2 linked regions of the Tamandua tetradactyla genome follow. The protein of the gene in region 1 binds, or shares a complex with, the protein of each later gene. Links are inferred from orthologs where the notes say so. Each region holds a gene or a part of one and is shown in the gene's direction. Other genes may lie near its edges.

The links.
Region 2: the proteins of TNPO3 (region 1) and CIRBP are in contact, whole or in part, in a crystal structure (PDB 8CMK), measured with the Homo sapiens proteins. The link is inferred for Tamandua tetradactyla from reciprocal best matches to the Homo sapiens genes TNPO3 and CIRBP. Residues at the interface, in NP_036602.1 of Homo sapiens: Arg620, Glu660, Arg661, Cys663, Arg664, Arg667, Phe668, Arg671, Ser698, Cys699, Tyr702, Ser705, Ile706, Asp709, Glu710, Asp747, Asp750, Asp751, Arg754, Arg758; in NP_001271.1 of Homo sapiens: Tyr160, Arg161, Ser163, Tyr164, Asp165, Ser166, Tyr167, Ala168.

Annotation. Positions count from the first base shown.
Region 1 is NC_135327.1:170,509,719-170,516,764, reverse strand, and holds the start of TNPO3 (transportin-3), read left to right. Parts: upstream 1-3,985; 5' UTR 3,986-4,350; coding exon 4,351-4,470; intron 4,471-7,046. UniProt on the Homo sapiens protein: Importin, which transports target proteins into the nucleus. Specifically mediates the nuclear import of splicing factor serine/arginine (SR) proteins, such as RBM4, SFRS1 and SFRS2, by recognizing phosphorylated SR domains.
Region 2 is NC_135337.1:81,719,975-81,727,626, reverse strand, and holds CIRBP (cold-inducible RNA-binding protein), read left to right. Parts: upstream 1-4,642; 5' UTR 4,643-4,777; intron 4,778-5,747; 5' UTR 5,748-5,812; coding exon 5,813-5,915; intron 5,916-5,992; coding exon 5,993-6,099; intron 6,100-6,187; coding exon 6,188-6,326; intron 6,327-6,418; coding exon 6,419-6,500; intron 6,501-6,689; coding exon 6,690-6,837; 3' UTR 6,838-7,137; downstream 7,138-7,652. UniProt on the Homo sapiens protein: Cold-inducible mRNA binding protein that plays a protective role in the genotoxic stress response by stabilizing transcripts of genes involved in cell survival. Acts as a translational activator.

The DNA of each region.
Region 1 (7,046 bases):
TTTCTCCCTCATTTTTGAAGGACAATATTGCTGGATATAGGAGTCTTGGTTTCAGTTTTTCTCTTTTAGTAATTTAAATATATCATCCCACTGTCTTCTAGCTTCCATGGTTTCTGCTGAGAAATCTACACATAGTCTTATTGGGTTTCCCTTGTATGTGATGGATTGTTTTTCTCTTGCTGCTTTCAAGATCCTCTCTTTCTCTTTGACCTCTGACATTCTAACTAGTAAGTGTCTTGGAGAATGCCTATTTGGGTCTATTCTCTTTGGGGTGTGCTGCACTTCTTGGATCTGTAATTTTAGGTCTTTCATAAGAGTTGGGAAATTTTCAGTGATAATTTCTTCCATTAGTTTTTCTCCTCCTTTTCCCTTCTCTTCTCCTTCTGGGACACCCACAACACGTATATTTGTGCGCTTCATATTGTCATTCAGTTCCCTGATCCCCTGCTCAAGTTTTTCCATTCTTTTCCCTATAGTTTCTGTTTCTTTTTGGAATTCAGATGTTCCATCCTCCAATTCACTAATTCTAGCTTCTGTGTCTTTAAATCTACCATTGTAGGTATCTATTGTTTTTTCCAGCTTTTCTACTTTGTCCTTCATTCCCATAAGTTCTGTGATTTGTTTTTTCAGTTTTTCTATTTCTTCTTTTTGTTCAGCCCATGTGTTCTTCATGTCCTCCCTCAATTTATCGATTTGGTTTTTGAAGTGGTTTTCCATTTCTGTTCATATATTCAGCATTAGTTGTCTCAGCTCCTGTATCTCATTTGAACTATTGGTTTGTTCCTTTACTGGGCCATATTTTCAATTTTCTGAGCATGATTCGTTATCTTCTGCTGGCGTCTGGGCATTTAATCAGATTTCCTTGGGTGTAAGACCCCGCACGTTGAAAGATTTTTCTTTGAAATCTCTAGGCTCTGTGTTTCTTATCCTGCCCAGTAGGTGGCACTCGTGGCGCTCATCTGTCTGCGAGTCCCACCAGTAAAAGATGCTGTGGCTCCTTTAACTTTGGAAAACTCTCTATATGGGGGGGGTCACCAGCCGAAGTGGCTTGGGGAAGTGCCAATCCGAATCTCCAGCCGACCCGGGGGTCCGCACGCGGGGAGGGTCACCGGCCTCCGCGGTTTGGGGGAACACCTGTCCAAATTTCCCAGCTGGTCTGGGGCGCCAAGTGTGGCGGGGGGGCGCCAGCCGCTGCGGCTTGGGGAAGTGTCTATCTACCATTCCCAGCCGGACCGGGAAGCCACGTGTTTGGAAGGGACCCCGTTCGCTGTTCTCCGCGGCTTGGGGATCTCCGATCCAATTCTCCCAGCTGGTCCAGGGGCCGCGCGTGGGGGTGGTGCCAGCCGCCGCGGCTTGAGGGGACCACCTGTCCAATTCTCCCAGCCAGCCCGGGAAGGAGGGAGGGAGGGACCCCGGCTGCCTGCCGCCCCGGCCCGGGGAAGCCCGCGCCCCTCGGCGATCTCACCGGAGCGTGTGCTTCCACCCAGTCAGCCATTCCAGAATGGGGTACGCTGTCTTCTTGGTCTGTGTTGTGGCTCCGGGAGCTGTTCTGAATCGTTTCAACTTCTCTAGTAGCTGTTCTGGAGGAGGAACTAAGACCTGCGCGTCTTACTAAGTCGCCATCTTCTCCAGAAGTCCTCGACATATGGTAACTTTAATTGTTTGCAGAACTAGCAGACTGTTTTCCAAAGAGGCTGCACCATTTTACAATACCATCAGCAAACTATGAGAGCTCCAATTTCTCCACATCTTTGACAACACTTGTTATTTTCTGTCTTTTAAGTTTATCCATACTAGTAGGTGTAAAGTAGTATCTGGTAATATTAATTTGCATTTCCTAATGACTAATAATGTTGAACATCTTTTCGTGTATCACTAGCCATTTGTGTATCTTTTTTTACAGAAGTATCTATTTAAGCATTTACCATTTTAAAAAATGACTTGCCTTATTTTTATTGAGTTGTAAGAGTTTTTTAAAAAATATATTTTAGATACAAAACTCTTATCAGGTGTGATTTGCAAGTATTTTCAGGGTTGTCTTTTTATTTTCTTGATGGTATCCTATGATGCACAAAAGTTTTTAATTTTGATAAAAGTCCCATTTATTTTTTCCTGTTTTGCTCATGCCTTTGGTATAAAGCCTAAGAAGTCACCACTGAATACAAGGTCTTGAAGGTTTCCCTATGTGTTTTTTTTAGGAGTTTTACAGTTTTAGTTCTTACATTTAGGTTTTTGATTGATTTTTAATTGAATTTTGTATATGGTGTGAACTAGAGGTCCATCTTCATTCTTTTGCAAATTGCTGTCCAGTTGTCGCAGCACTATTTGTTGAAGAAACATTATGTAATGTTCAGTGAGTGGGCATAACATCTTTGTTAAAGAGTAGTTGGCCAAAGGTGTGAGAGTTTATTTCTGAACCCTCAAATTCTATTGGTCTATATGCCTGTCCTTGTGCTAGTACAAAGCTGTTTAGTAATAGTTGTTTGTAATAAGTTTTAAAATAAGGAAATGTGAGTCCTCCAACCTTGTTCTTCTTTCAAGATAGTTCTGTTGATTCTGGGCTGCTTATTTTTCCCTATGAATATGATGTCTAGCTTTTCCATTTCTGCAAAGAAAGTTAGACCACTGAATTTTTAAAACATTTTTATTGTGAAATATAACATATATATTAAAAAGCATTAGATTTCAAAATAAATTTTAACAAGTAGTTATAGAGCAGATTTCAACGTTTGGTATGGGTTACAGTTCCACAATTTCAGGACTTTCCTTCTAGCTGCTCCAAGACACTGGAGACTAAAAAGAAATATTAAGGGTGGGCCATGGTGGCTCAGCAGGCAGAGTTCTTGCCTGCCATGCTGAAGACCCTGGTTTTGATTTCCCAAGCCTGCCCATGCAAAAAAAAAAAAAAAAACAACAACAAAAACAAAATATCAACACAATGATTCAGTAGCCCTACCCATTTGTTAAACCCTAACTTCCGTGTTATAACTCCTCCTTCTCCTTTGATCCTTCTCCCAATCTTTAGGGATATTTGAATTATGCCCATTGTAACATTACATGTTGAAAAGGGTGTGGACAACATGGGATGGGGGATGGAACTAGTTGATGTTCTTGGAGAGACTGGCATCTCTGGGTTTCAGGACTTAACTGGCACAGGAAGTATCTGAAGGTTTTAGGTTTCTGAAAAGTAAACTTAGTGCATCAACTTTTGTAAGAGCTCAGATAGAGCCCTGGCCGTTCTTCAGAGTTAACAGGAATGATGTTGGCTGGGGTTTGGCAAATTGTAGCAATTAGCCATATCTAGCTGAAGCTTGCCTAAGAGTAGCCTCCAGAATAGCCTCTTCACTCATTTGAACTCTCTTAGCCACTGATACCTTATCTTTCCCCCCTTTTAGACCACTGATTCGGAAAGGTATGCACAAAACTACAATTCACTATGGAAATGATCCTAAAGATGTATGCAAATAAGTGCTCAGGAGTTCATAGCGTCCTGAGTAGTAAAATGAAAGGCCCCTTTGGGTGTAAAGACTTAAGTGGGAAAGGGGAGCGAAACAGGGATTCTAGATATTTTGCATTTATTTCAATGTGGCATCTATTTCAAATTTGAAAAAAATTATTTGATTAAAAATAGAGACAACGCACGAATCTGTACTAAGCCATGTTTCCGTTTCCAGTACAATGGACACTGGGGAGGGTTGAATTGACGCGCCTTATGCAACAGGCCAGGAAGGATTTCCTGATGAGGGAAGAGAAAGAGCTCGGATTCATCACCAAGGAGAGGAGAGCGGTTAAGGGACGGGGTGCACATCGGTCCCAAACCTCGAATCGGAGAAAAAAAACGAAGAACACTAAAACCAAACCCTTGCTTGCGTTCTTGAACCGGCAGGGTCACTTCCGGAAGGAGGCGGGGAGACACGGAGGAGGCGTGTCGGGAAGGAGTCCGTTCGCAGTGCACAAGGCGGAAGTGTGCCAAAGGTATAGGTGTCGCCGCTTCCGGTCCGGGTAAACGCGGTTTAGGAACACTCCGAGGTTTTTGTCAGGCGGCGATAGATTTCTGAGGGAAAGCTAGCGGGTGAGGAGTGGGGCATCAGCGTCCGGACTCAGAAATTTGGAGCCTAGTGGGAGAATCGGGGAAAAAAGGGCAGGAACCTGAATACGGTCTCACTGCTGTTTCCGAGGGGTCACTTTCCATTGGGAACCCCTCTGCCCTGGTAACGGCCAAAGAGGAGGAGATGGCGCCAGTCAGGGAGCGGCCGTGGCCGAGGCAGTGAGGAAACGCGAAGGCGGAGCTACTGGAGAAGCCTCAGGAGAAAAGCCACAGCCGTCGCTGCCGCCACTGTTGCCTCCACCATGGAAGGGACAAAGCCGACGTTGCAGCTCGTGTATCAGGCAGTGCAGGCGCTTTACCACGACCCAGATCCCAGCGGAAAGGAGCGCGCCTCCTTTTGGCTTGGGGAGCTGCAGCGTTCGGTGAGGGGCCCAGAGAGGCCGTTCTGTGCCGCGGGGCATTGGTGAAGTGGGCTCTAGGCTCGAGGGGGTAGCCGCTGTCTGGCAACTGGCCTGGTGAGGTCCTCTTTGGGGAGGAGCTGCTGCCGCGGGGTGGGGCTGCGAAGCTACTTATTGCTGCTTCTCGGAAGCTAATCGCAGCTGGTCGGTCGGTCGGTCGGTCGCGAACTGGCCCTTTTCTCACCCCGTAGAATCTGATTTGTGTGTCCTATCCTTCTTGCTTGTGACATCGATCTGGTTCTCTAAGTTCTAACCTTACTGTTTCTTAAGCCCTGCTTTCCCGTTTTGTCTTCCTTCAACCCAATCCCATCTCCGTCTTTTTCTTTAGGAATGTTTTATCAGCCTCTTCTCCCTACCCGTGTGTTGCATCTGGCAGTTCCTTCCCAATCGTTACCTTACTCACACCTTACTGTTCTCCTCGATTCTCTCTCTTTTTTTTTTAGTAAAATACAACTTTAATATTGAACTATTAAGCAAATTTTCCAAAAACCACCTGAACACAAAGGAAAAGAAATTCTTTTAACCAAAATACCATTAGTGTGGACTAATTTTAACCGAAAGAACATAAGCTCTTTAAAACACCAATTTTAATCTGATAATAAAACAAATTTTAGAAGATATATGCTACTAATCACAAATGTTACCTGTTAAAGTGTTCTTATGGGAAACTAAATGTTTGAAACAAGAAACTCCACCATTTAGAATCTGACACAAATTAAATGTCTAAGAAGTCTCTGGATATCCCTGCAAATTTGGGATAGAAATGAATATGATGTCAGTATTTTTATTGTCAGTATCTTCCATACAATAATGAGGTTTGACCTTTTTCTAATAATGTGTATTTATAATTATTTTCCTGAAAATGATGAAGGCATTAAAAACATGCATGCATTAACTATTCAATCTTATGGTACTCTTTAAAGATGAGTAGGTAGGCTAGAATCATTTTCCCTTCTCAATTTTGCTGTGCTATGTACTATGTATTATCCATTGATAACTTGTTACAGGTCTTTAAAGATTTTATCATTTGGTTTGGTTTTCCACATCACACTTCTTGATTTAAAGGCCTCATCAAGCCCAATTGTCCATTCCACGGCGTTGTGGCCCAAATTATTATTCAGCTGCCATAAGTGATAGTTCCATTTCCATTCTCTGAGGGCAGAGTATGGTAGTCTTCTTGACTTACTGATATTGGGTAAATGTTTGTCACCACTTGATTGAATAGCTCAGGGTTCCTGGGACTTCTACTGCCATTTTCTTGTAATGTGGGCATATCAATAGCTGAATTGCTTTGTGCAATAAAGCGCTCACCTTTGGCAGTAGTAATCAAAGCTCCTCCTTAGAACTCCATTTGGAGGGCATCAGTGTTCCAGGTTACATGTCTCTTTTTCAGGCCAACCATTCTTCCCCTTCTTTAGGACATGCTGGATAATAGCATACCTGGTTACACTCTAAGAGATCTCTTACCACTTCAGTCATGGGGATGTAGAGTCCAAGGTCTGTAGGGCAGGCCACAAGCTAGTAGCTCTGATGAAGTTTCTCAGCAAACTCTCAGGAGAGGCTGGCTGGACAACCGTGGGAATTGAAGAGTCCAAAATCCGCAGAGCAGGCTGTGAAGCTGACAACTCACTTGAAGGGTCTGGATGAACTCCATAGGAGAGGCTCACAGGCTGAAGCAGGAAGGACTGTCTCTTCTGAATCCTCGCCTAAATTAGTTTGAGTCTGTTATTCTCGAAACTTCTCAGGTTTCCAGATTCTTATGCATATGAATTTCCCCTTGTTTTGGGGTGTGATACAGTGTAAGTTAAAAAATATCAATTCTGGTTTCAGAAAATCTCATTTTGCTGCATAGTGGTTTTCTGGCCTTTTCACTTCTCTGACTTTCAGGTTCTTCATTGGTAAAATGCGTATAATAGCTTCCTTGATTATTCCATAGAAATATTGTGAGCATCCACTAAGGCATTTGAGAAAAGTCCTTTATTACCTCTAATTATAACCTATTATATTAGTTGTTTCAGGTATCTTATGATTCCTCTCCCTGATTTTTACACTCTACTTTGCTGTCCTTTATTTCTTTGTGAGTTTGTGTTTGCAAAGTATCTTGGAAACTGAAGCGGCTGATACAAACCGACAAACTACTTTTCTTATGTTTGCATTTTATGCTCCCAAGAATTTTTTTTTTAATCCTCCTCCTCCCCTTTTTTTAAAACTCATAACTGGTACTTAAAATGCTCAGCTCTGGGTGGGCCGCGGTGGCTCAGCGGGCAAAGTGCTTGCCTGCTATGCCGAAGGACCTCGGTTCGATTCCCGGCCCCAGCCCATGTAACAAAAACGGAGAAACAGAATACAATAAAACAAGAAAATGTTTAAAAATGTTTCCCTTTCTTCCTTCCTTCCTTCCTTCTATCCTTCCTTCCTTCTCTCTGTCTTTCCTTTAAAAAAAAAAAAAAAAAAAATGCTCAGCTCTTTAAAATCAGCTCCTAGGCTGCAAGTGCATAATAAATATTTCTAAATTTGTAGCTCTGACTTTGAATATTACA
Region 2 (7,652 bases), on another chromosome or scaffold:
ACGTGGAGAAAGAAGAGAATCACCAAAGACGGGCAGCTCTTCCTCAGAGCTGACTTCTGTGGTGGCTCAGAGGCCTCTGTGTGGCACTGCTGCTCCGGCCCCATCTCAGGGGAAGCATCTGAGACCCAGAGAGGGACCTGAGGGCCACCTGCCTGTCCAGGTGATCTATGGGAGCCAGTGGTGGTCCATCCACATGTTCCGTGGGCACGAGGGTGGGTGCTGGGTCCGCATGTGTATATGTGGGTGCTCTCCTGGTGCCCCGGGGCGCGCATCTGGGCGTGCCTGCTGCATTCATAGATGCTTTGGTGGGCACCCACTATGCCCCTCAGGTATGTGCAGCTGCCCTGGTAGTTGTGGGGAGACTCAGTGACATCCCCAAGCCCCAGGGAGGCCCCTTTCTGTGCTGCCTAGGGCTTGCAGGGAGCCAGTATGTAGGTGAGCATGTGGGGCTACTCTGGGGGTAACTTCTGCAGCCCCTGGGGCCCACTCCTTGGGAGCCAGAGGCCACCAGTTCCCAGACTCTGCATTCCACAAGCACTTAATATGTGTGCTAAGTGTGGATGCATTTCGCTGCATGTAAATGCGTGTCGCCGTATGTTCCCGGCTTGTCTGCTAACCCATTTGTGCCTCATTTTCCCTCCATACAAGTGGTCCCTATCAGGGTCTCTGGGGGCTGCTTGGCCCACACACTGGTGAGCTTGGGATGTGTCCACGGCACGTACCAGGATGTGTGATGCTGTGTGCAGTCCCGGTTTCTCCATGGCGCATGTGTGGCACATCTAGGGCCCCCCCCCCCGGGCTCAGGCAGAGTGTGTGCTGGGCTGGGGTGGCCTGGCCTGGGCGGGGGCAGATTGGCCTCAGCGGCCTCCACATTCCTGAGCGGTGACTCAGGCCTGTGGGGAGGGGTGAGTCAAGTTGGGAAGCTCCAGCCCAGTGTCCTCTGCCTCAGCAGGGACCCCTTCCAAGGCAGAAGACGGAAACCAAGGGCCTCCCTCATGACAGGAAGCACAGCCTCCTGTGTTCCCAGCTCACAGGCACCTGGGGCCTCCTAGGGACCTGGGAGGTTCCCACCTGTTGGTGCTGGTGGCAGCAGGGGAGGAGGGCAGGGTTAACCCTTCCTCTGATGGGCTTCTGGCCTCGGGTTCCTGCTCCTCTTCCCTTTGGGGCCCTGGGCTACTGCTGCTGACACGCTGCACAATGCCCATCCCAGGGCCCTGAGTCACGCGACCAGGCCCTGCCTGGAACATGTGCTCCGGGGTCCCTGCTTGCCTGAGTCATGCACATGCAGCCTGGGCTGGGCTGCTTCTGGTCTTCCACCTGATGGCAGATGCCACCACGGAGACATGGAGGGCATGCACCCCTGCAAAAGTGTTCCCACCGCCACATACCCACACACAAGCAGTCTCACATACACCCTTCCACGCCCAAGTACACGCACATCCACATAGCAGATTTACGCATTTCCACGCCATGTGCGTGCATGTACACCTGTGTCCGGGGTTTCATGAAACACACTTCTATACCTGTATGCACACTCATTCACACACCAGTAATTTCACACATTTCCACACCCATTGGCACTCACACCCACACTCACGAGTGCCCTGGGTTTCACACACCCTTCCACACCCTAGTGCACACACATACCTGTGTCCTGGATTTCATGCACACACTTTCATCACACACCCACACACCTGTGGCTTCTCACACAAACTCACGACCATGTGCACACCCACCCACACACGAGTGCCCTGGGTTTCACACACATCCTTCCATGCCTGTGTGCCCTTGCACCCACCCACCCACTGCTGCCCAGCCAAGCACGTCTGGAGTCAGCTTTGCTTGTCCACCTGTGTACCCACGGGTCCCTGTCGACATCTGCTTGCCCACGGGCATGCACGCACGCACACGTCCGCGTCTCCTACCCCCACCCTGGCGCTGGTCCCTGCGGATCTGAGCCTCTGAGCCGGCCTGGCGGACTCGAGTCGGGGCCAGGACCGCCCCACGTCTGCGTCTCCGCCGGCGGCTTCCAGGTGCACCGTGGGCCTCCGCCTGGCCGGGAGGGGGCGGTAATTACGCGGCCCCGGGGTGCCCACCCCCCCACGAGCCTTTCATCCCCGGCCACACCCGTCCCGGGCCCAGACGCTCATTATCACCTCGCGCCCGCTTATTAGCCGGGTTTGCGAAAGGACCCGGAGTCCCGCAATCCCCACCTCGCGCGGGGAGGGAGGAAGGGGCGGTGCGAGAGCCAGGTAGCCCCGCCCCATCCCCCAGGCGACGCCTGCACCACCCACGGGGTGGTCCCTGGTCGCGCTGGATGCGGGGAAACGGCGGGTCTGGGGAAGGGGTGCGTTGGTGGATGAGGCAACCCGGGAACCCCCGGCTTAACGCCCCAGGCTCCAAGGCTGGAGAGGAGCACCGCGCGCGGGCACCCTCAGCCCGGCCGGGCCAGAAGACCTGAGCCTTCCGGCCTCCGTGTGAGCACTGGCCTGGGGTCGCGGTGTTCCCAGCCCGCGGCTGCGCGCACTGGCAGTCTTGGAGGAGATGGGGGAGGGGGCTTCTCTCCCACCCACTCAGGGGGGCCGAGTCGCGCGGCCTGAGCGAGGGGCGGGATCGCAGCGCCCCCAAGTGTCCGCAGCGCAGAGCACGCCCGGGCCAGGGCCCGCGTGATGCAGCAGTCCCGGCAGGAAGCACAGAGATAAGGGTAGTTTCGGACCCCTGGGAGCCCCTCGCAGCGACGCGCAGTGCAGGGTATACGCCGAGTCACAGGTACACACAGACGTAGGTAACCACAGAGACACAGGTACCGAGACAGGTACACACCTGAGGCCCAGGTACGCAGGGAAGACACCCGGCACAGTCCAGGTGCTCCGGGCAACAGGTAACCCCCTGTGCCCCTCACCGTCACGGGACACAGGCAAACTCCTCTGCAGGTTCACATAGAGCCCAACATGGAGGGGGCTGGTAGTAAACGCTTGACAAGCATGTGTCGGCAGAAAGAATGAATGAACGCGGGGCGCTGCACGAAACCAGGAACCAGAGAACAATGGGAGGGGACATGGAGGGCGCCCCTGGACCGGGGCTGCTACAGAGCCCCCTGGCCTGGTCCTGAGCGAGCAGCAGCCCTTTCTGACTGAAAGGGTGGGCTACCTGTCCCCAGGCCTCCGGGCTTCCCGGCGGCTCGGGTGGGTACAGGGCCCCCCTCCATGGGTGGCGGGTGGGGCCGAGAGTTGACATCTCTCTCTGCGCATGGCTGACGCAGGAGCTGCTGCCACGGCGGTCTGGGACTCACGTGCCGGGCTGTGGCGTGGGGATGCACGGTGCCGAGGGAGCGAGGATGGGTCATGGAAGGGGAGGGGGCCCCTGAGTCGACGGGATTCCCGCGACCTTGGCTTCGCCCTTGTATCCCCTGCTGTGAGAGTTAGCCAGACCCACTTGTGGCTGAGAGACATGTCTGGGTGAAGCTGGAACTCGTCTGGGGTCCGCTCCAAGGAAGGGTCTCTGGTCCACGTCGCCCCCTGAAGCTTTATGGAGGCAGGATTGTACCTTGGGCCACTGGTCTGGACCAGCAAGAGCTCTGTACTACTTTCTCTTACTCCAGGAGGGTCCAGAGCCACAAGAGCGGCAGGGTTCCCACAGAGCTAGTTCCCCTGATAGCAGAGGTCTTGAGGACCCTCCAGGACCTCCACCTCAACAGCGGATGTCTCTGAAAAGACAGGCAAGTCAGAGGGGTGTTAACAGAGCACACCCCTGACCGTCCCCCCCAGGAGAGAGCATGCAGCTTGTGGGGGTGCAGAATCCCGTGGTGGCTGCCTTGTTGCTGGCAGGGGGTCGAAGGCTGAACTGAGCGTTGGGGAGCATGCTGAGGGGCCTGGACTGAGATGCACAATACCCCGCCAGGCAATTTTTGGGACATAGGCGACTCATTGGGCTCAGGTGATGTCTGAGCTTGGTAGGGAGATAGGTATGGCTGCCTATTGGGGTTTGTAGTCAAACTGGCTTGGCTGAAGATGTGACGACCAAAGTCTTGTGTACTGAGAAGACGTGGATACTGATGAATGTTGAGGTTCACATAAATTGAGATGCGTCTGAATGCTGGGGCGAGGCTGGGCATTGGGGTCGATCGCGTGAAGCCGTGTACCCACGGGGTTTGGGTTCCTGGGAATACTGGGGTGCCGTTTTTGTGGGCAAGGTACCAGAAAGATGTCGCGGTAGAGATGAAGTTGGGGTGTCTGGGGGATAGAGCTTGGGTGGGTATTGGGATCCCAGTTAGGTCGGGATGTCAGCAGTTGCTGGAGTACAGCTAAGGTCGGGGTGCAGTAGACACCGAGAACCCCTCTAGGTTACGGCCCCTGGAGGTAGCGGCGGGAGACCCCTTTGTTCCCCGCCTCAGGCCGAGGGGTGGAGGGGCGGGCACGCGGAAGTGGGTCAGCCCCGCCCCCAGCGCGCTGGCCCGTCCCCGCGCACGCAGACGGGGAACTGCGGCCTCCTGGCCGGAACGCCCCCGCCAATCACCGCTCCTGGTTCCAGCGAGGCGGAAGAGGCGGAGCCGGAGCTGGCCCTGCCCCTCAGTCATGAATATGAGGCGCGACGTCGGCCATCCGCGCCCCGGATTGGCTCGTGTGGCTCAAGGGGCGGGCACAGAGGCGGGGCCCGGAGGCGGCATATATAAGGCCGGGCGCCCGCGGCCCCCCCTTCACTCGCGCGTTAGGAGGCTCGAGTTGTTGTACTTCGTCTGTGTCTTCTCGCCTGCTTCAGGGACCTGCCCAGCTCAGTGGTGAGGCCCTGGCGACGCCGGCGCCGAGCAGCCCGGGCGGCGGGCGGCTTCGGCAGGCCAGGCGAGGCGGGGCCGCAGCGGCACGCCCCTGGGAGGGGGCGGTGGCCGGGGCGGGCCAAGGCTGGCGTCCGCCCCGCCGGCGGCAAGGGCAGCGGGGAACGGGGCCGAGCGGCGGCCGGAGGGCGTGCCCCCCGCGGGCTAAGGCCGCTGGTGAGCGGGGCGCTGCCGCAAAATGGCGGCCGCGGGCTCTAGGCTGCGCCCAGCGAAATGGCGGGAGCGCCCGAGTGCCCGGATGGAGTGGCGCAGGGCGTGCACTGTGCGCATGCGCGCGAGGCGGAGCCTGGGCGGGGCGGGGCTCCGGAGCCCGGCGCTCTTTTCTCTCGATCCTAAGTTTCCGTTTTCCGATGCTGGGGTCGCTCGAGGGGGAGCATGCCCGGTTATTCGGGCCCTAAGTCTCTTCCCGGCCGCTCTTTTGGGGGCTGCTCCGCGCTGGTTCGCCCCTCCCGTCTGGTTCCCCCGCAATGGCCAGTTGGGGTCACCGCGCCCTGGGCGCACCCTCCCCGGGCCCTGCAGAGGTCCTGTTTACAAAGCTGGCCCGCTTCAGTACACAAAGCACCTTCCCACCCAGCAGCCGACAGAGAGGTTAGGTGGGTCCCTCGGGTAGCTAGGGAAGAACCTAAGCCCCTTCTATGCAAAAAGGAGAGAGTAGAGTGCACTCCTGTCCCTAGATACTTCCGCATGAGAATACCTGTTCTCAGCTCTAAAGGGGCCATGAGGGGCATCCACCTTGCTGTACAGGGGCTGAGAGGCCCGGCTCTGCCCAGGAAGCCTTCGGCGTGGGGGGGGGGGTAGTGGGGTATGTGTGTTGGGGGCGGGGGGGTGGCTAACAGATTTATTTGAATTTAGAAGCCCTGGACATAGATTTGAGATGACATAGGTGCAGGAAAATGATTTTTTGACGTCTTCCCAGAGCACACGACGTTTGTATAAAACAAAACGGGCGGGGAGGCTGAGGCTGTGTCTGCCACAGGCATCATGGCATCAGACGAAGGCAAACTTTTTGTCGGAGGGCTGAGCTTTGACACCAACGAGCAGTCTCTGGAGCAGGTCTTCTCCAAGTATGGACAGATCTCTGAAGGTGAGCTGGTTGTGGGCTGGCTCGCGCCTGGTCCTGGGGAGAGCTAGGCATTGATTGCAGGTCTCTCTCCTGTACAGTGGTGGTTGTGAAAGACAGGGAGACGCAGCGGTCACGAGGGTTTGGGTTTGTCACCTTCGAGAACATCGACGATGCCAAGGATGCCATGATGGCCATGAATGGGAAGGTGAGGGGCAGATGGTGGGGTTGGCAGAGCACCACCCTGTGGGTGGGCAGACTGGAGGCTGACTAGCCACCTCTTCTCTCTTCTCCAGTCTGTAGATGGGCGACAGATCCGAGTTGACCAGGCTGGGAAGTCATCCGACAGCCGGTCCCGCGGGTACCGAGGTGGCTCTGCTGGGGGCCGGGGCTTCTTCCGCGGCGGCCGAGGCCGGGGCCGTGGGTTCTCCAGAGGTGAGTGCCAGGCATAAGGCCAGAGGCATGTGGTGGCAGTGCTGGCAGGAGCTGTGCTCACACCATCATCTGGCCTGTTCGTGTCTGTGTAGGAGGAGGGGACCGTGGCTACGGGGGCAGCCGGTTCGAGTCCAGGAGTGGGGGCTATGGAGGCTCCAGAGACTACTACAGCAGGTGAGGGATGCCAGTTGGTGTCAGGGAGGGAGATCCAAGTGAACCAGGGAGGGGAAGTGGCCGATCAGGGCTTTGGGTGGGATGCGGCTTTGGGTCATCTGTAGGTGTGGCCAGAGAGTGGGCTGGCAGGGGCTGGAGGCCAGCAGCTCCACAGGTCCTCTCTAATACCTCCATGTGTCTTTCTCCCAGCCGGAGTCAGGGTGGCGGCTATGGTGACCGGAGCTCTGGCGGGTCTTACAGAGACAGCTATGACAGTTACGGTAAGGCCGGCTCCGAGGGCGCCACACTATGTGGCCTGCGGTGGGAGCCCGGTGCCCCTTGGCGCCCCTGCGAGTGACTTAGGCTCACGCTCAGATCTTACCGCTGTGCTTGCCCCTAAGAAACCAATCTTTCCTCTTGGTGCCAGGAGCCATTTCTACCACAAAACAAAAAGCAAAAGCAGAGCCAAGCACAAGTCCAGAAGGAAAGGGAGAGAGGGAGCCGGCATGCCGGCCTGAGTGCATGTGGGGGCCGGAGACGGCCGCCCTCAGCCGGGGGGTTGGTGCTCTCGAGGTCCAGGCCCCGCCTCCAGGCTCGGCCTCCGGGGAGTGAAATGCTGCATCTTGTCGCTGACCTCAGTGCCTTTACACTGTACTTGCTTCTTGTCCTCAGCTACACACAACGAGTAAAAATCCTTCCTGCTCAAGATCGTCCTTCCAATGGCTGTATATTTAAAGATTTTGGGAGCTTCGCTGAATCGTTAATGTGTAGTGAACACACCTCCTTGTATTTCCACTTTTGTAGTCACATCAGTTCTGATCTTGTCAAACGCAGCCTGACAGCTTCTGACCCCCGATGGCCTAGTTAGCAGACTTAATTTTTTTTAATTTTTTTAATTTTTTGAGGAAGCGCTGTTCGTTTTTAAAAGTTTTAAAAACGTTTTGAAAAGCACTTCGGATTTTACTTTTTTCTTTTTATCATGAGCCATGTGTTTTTTTAAATCGGTGGGGTTTGTGTGGGTTTTTTTTCCCTTTTTGGGGGAGGGAGGGGGTGTTGCTTTTTTGTTTCTCTTTTTGGTGGGGATGGCCCTGTGATGTTTGGGTACCCCGATTCCCTGCTCTTTGAAACGGAGAGGACTCTGAATCCACTCTTTATCGGAAGCTGAGCAAGCTG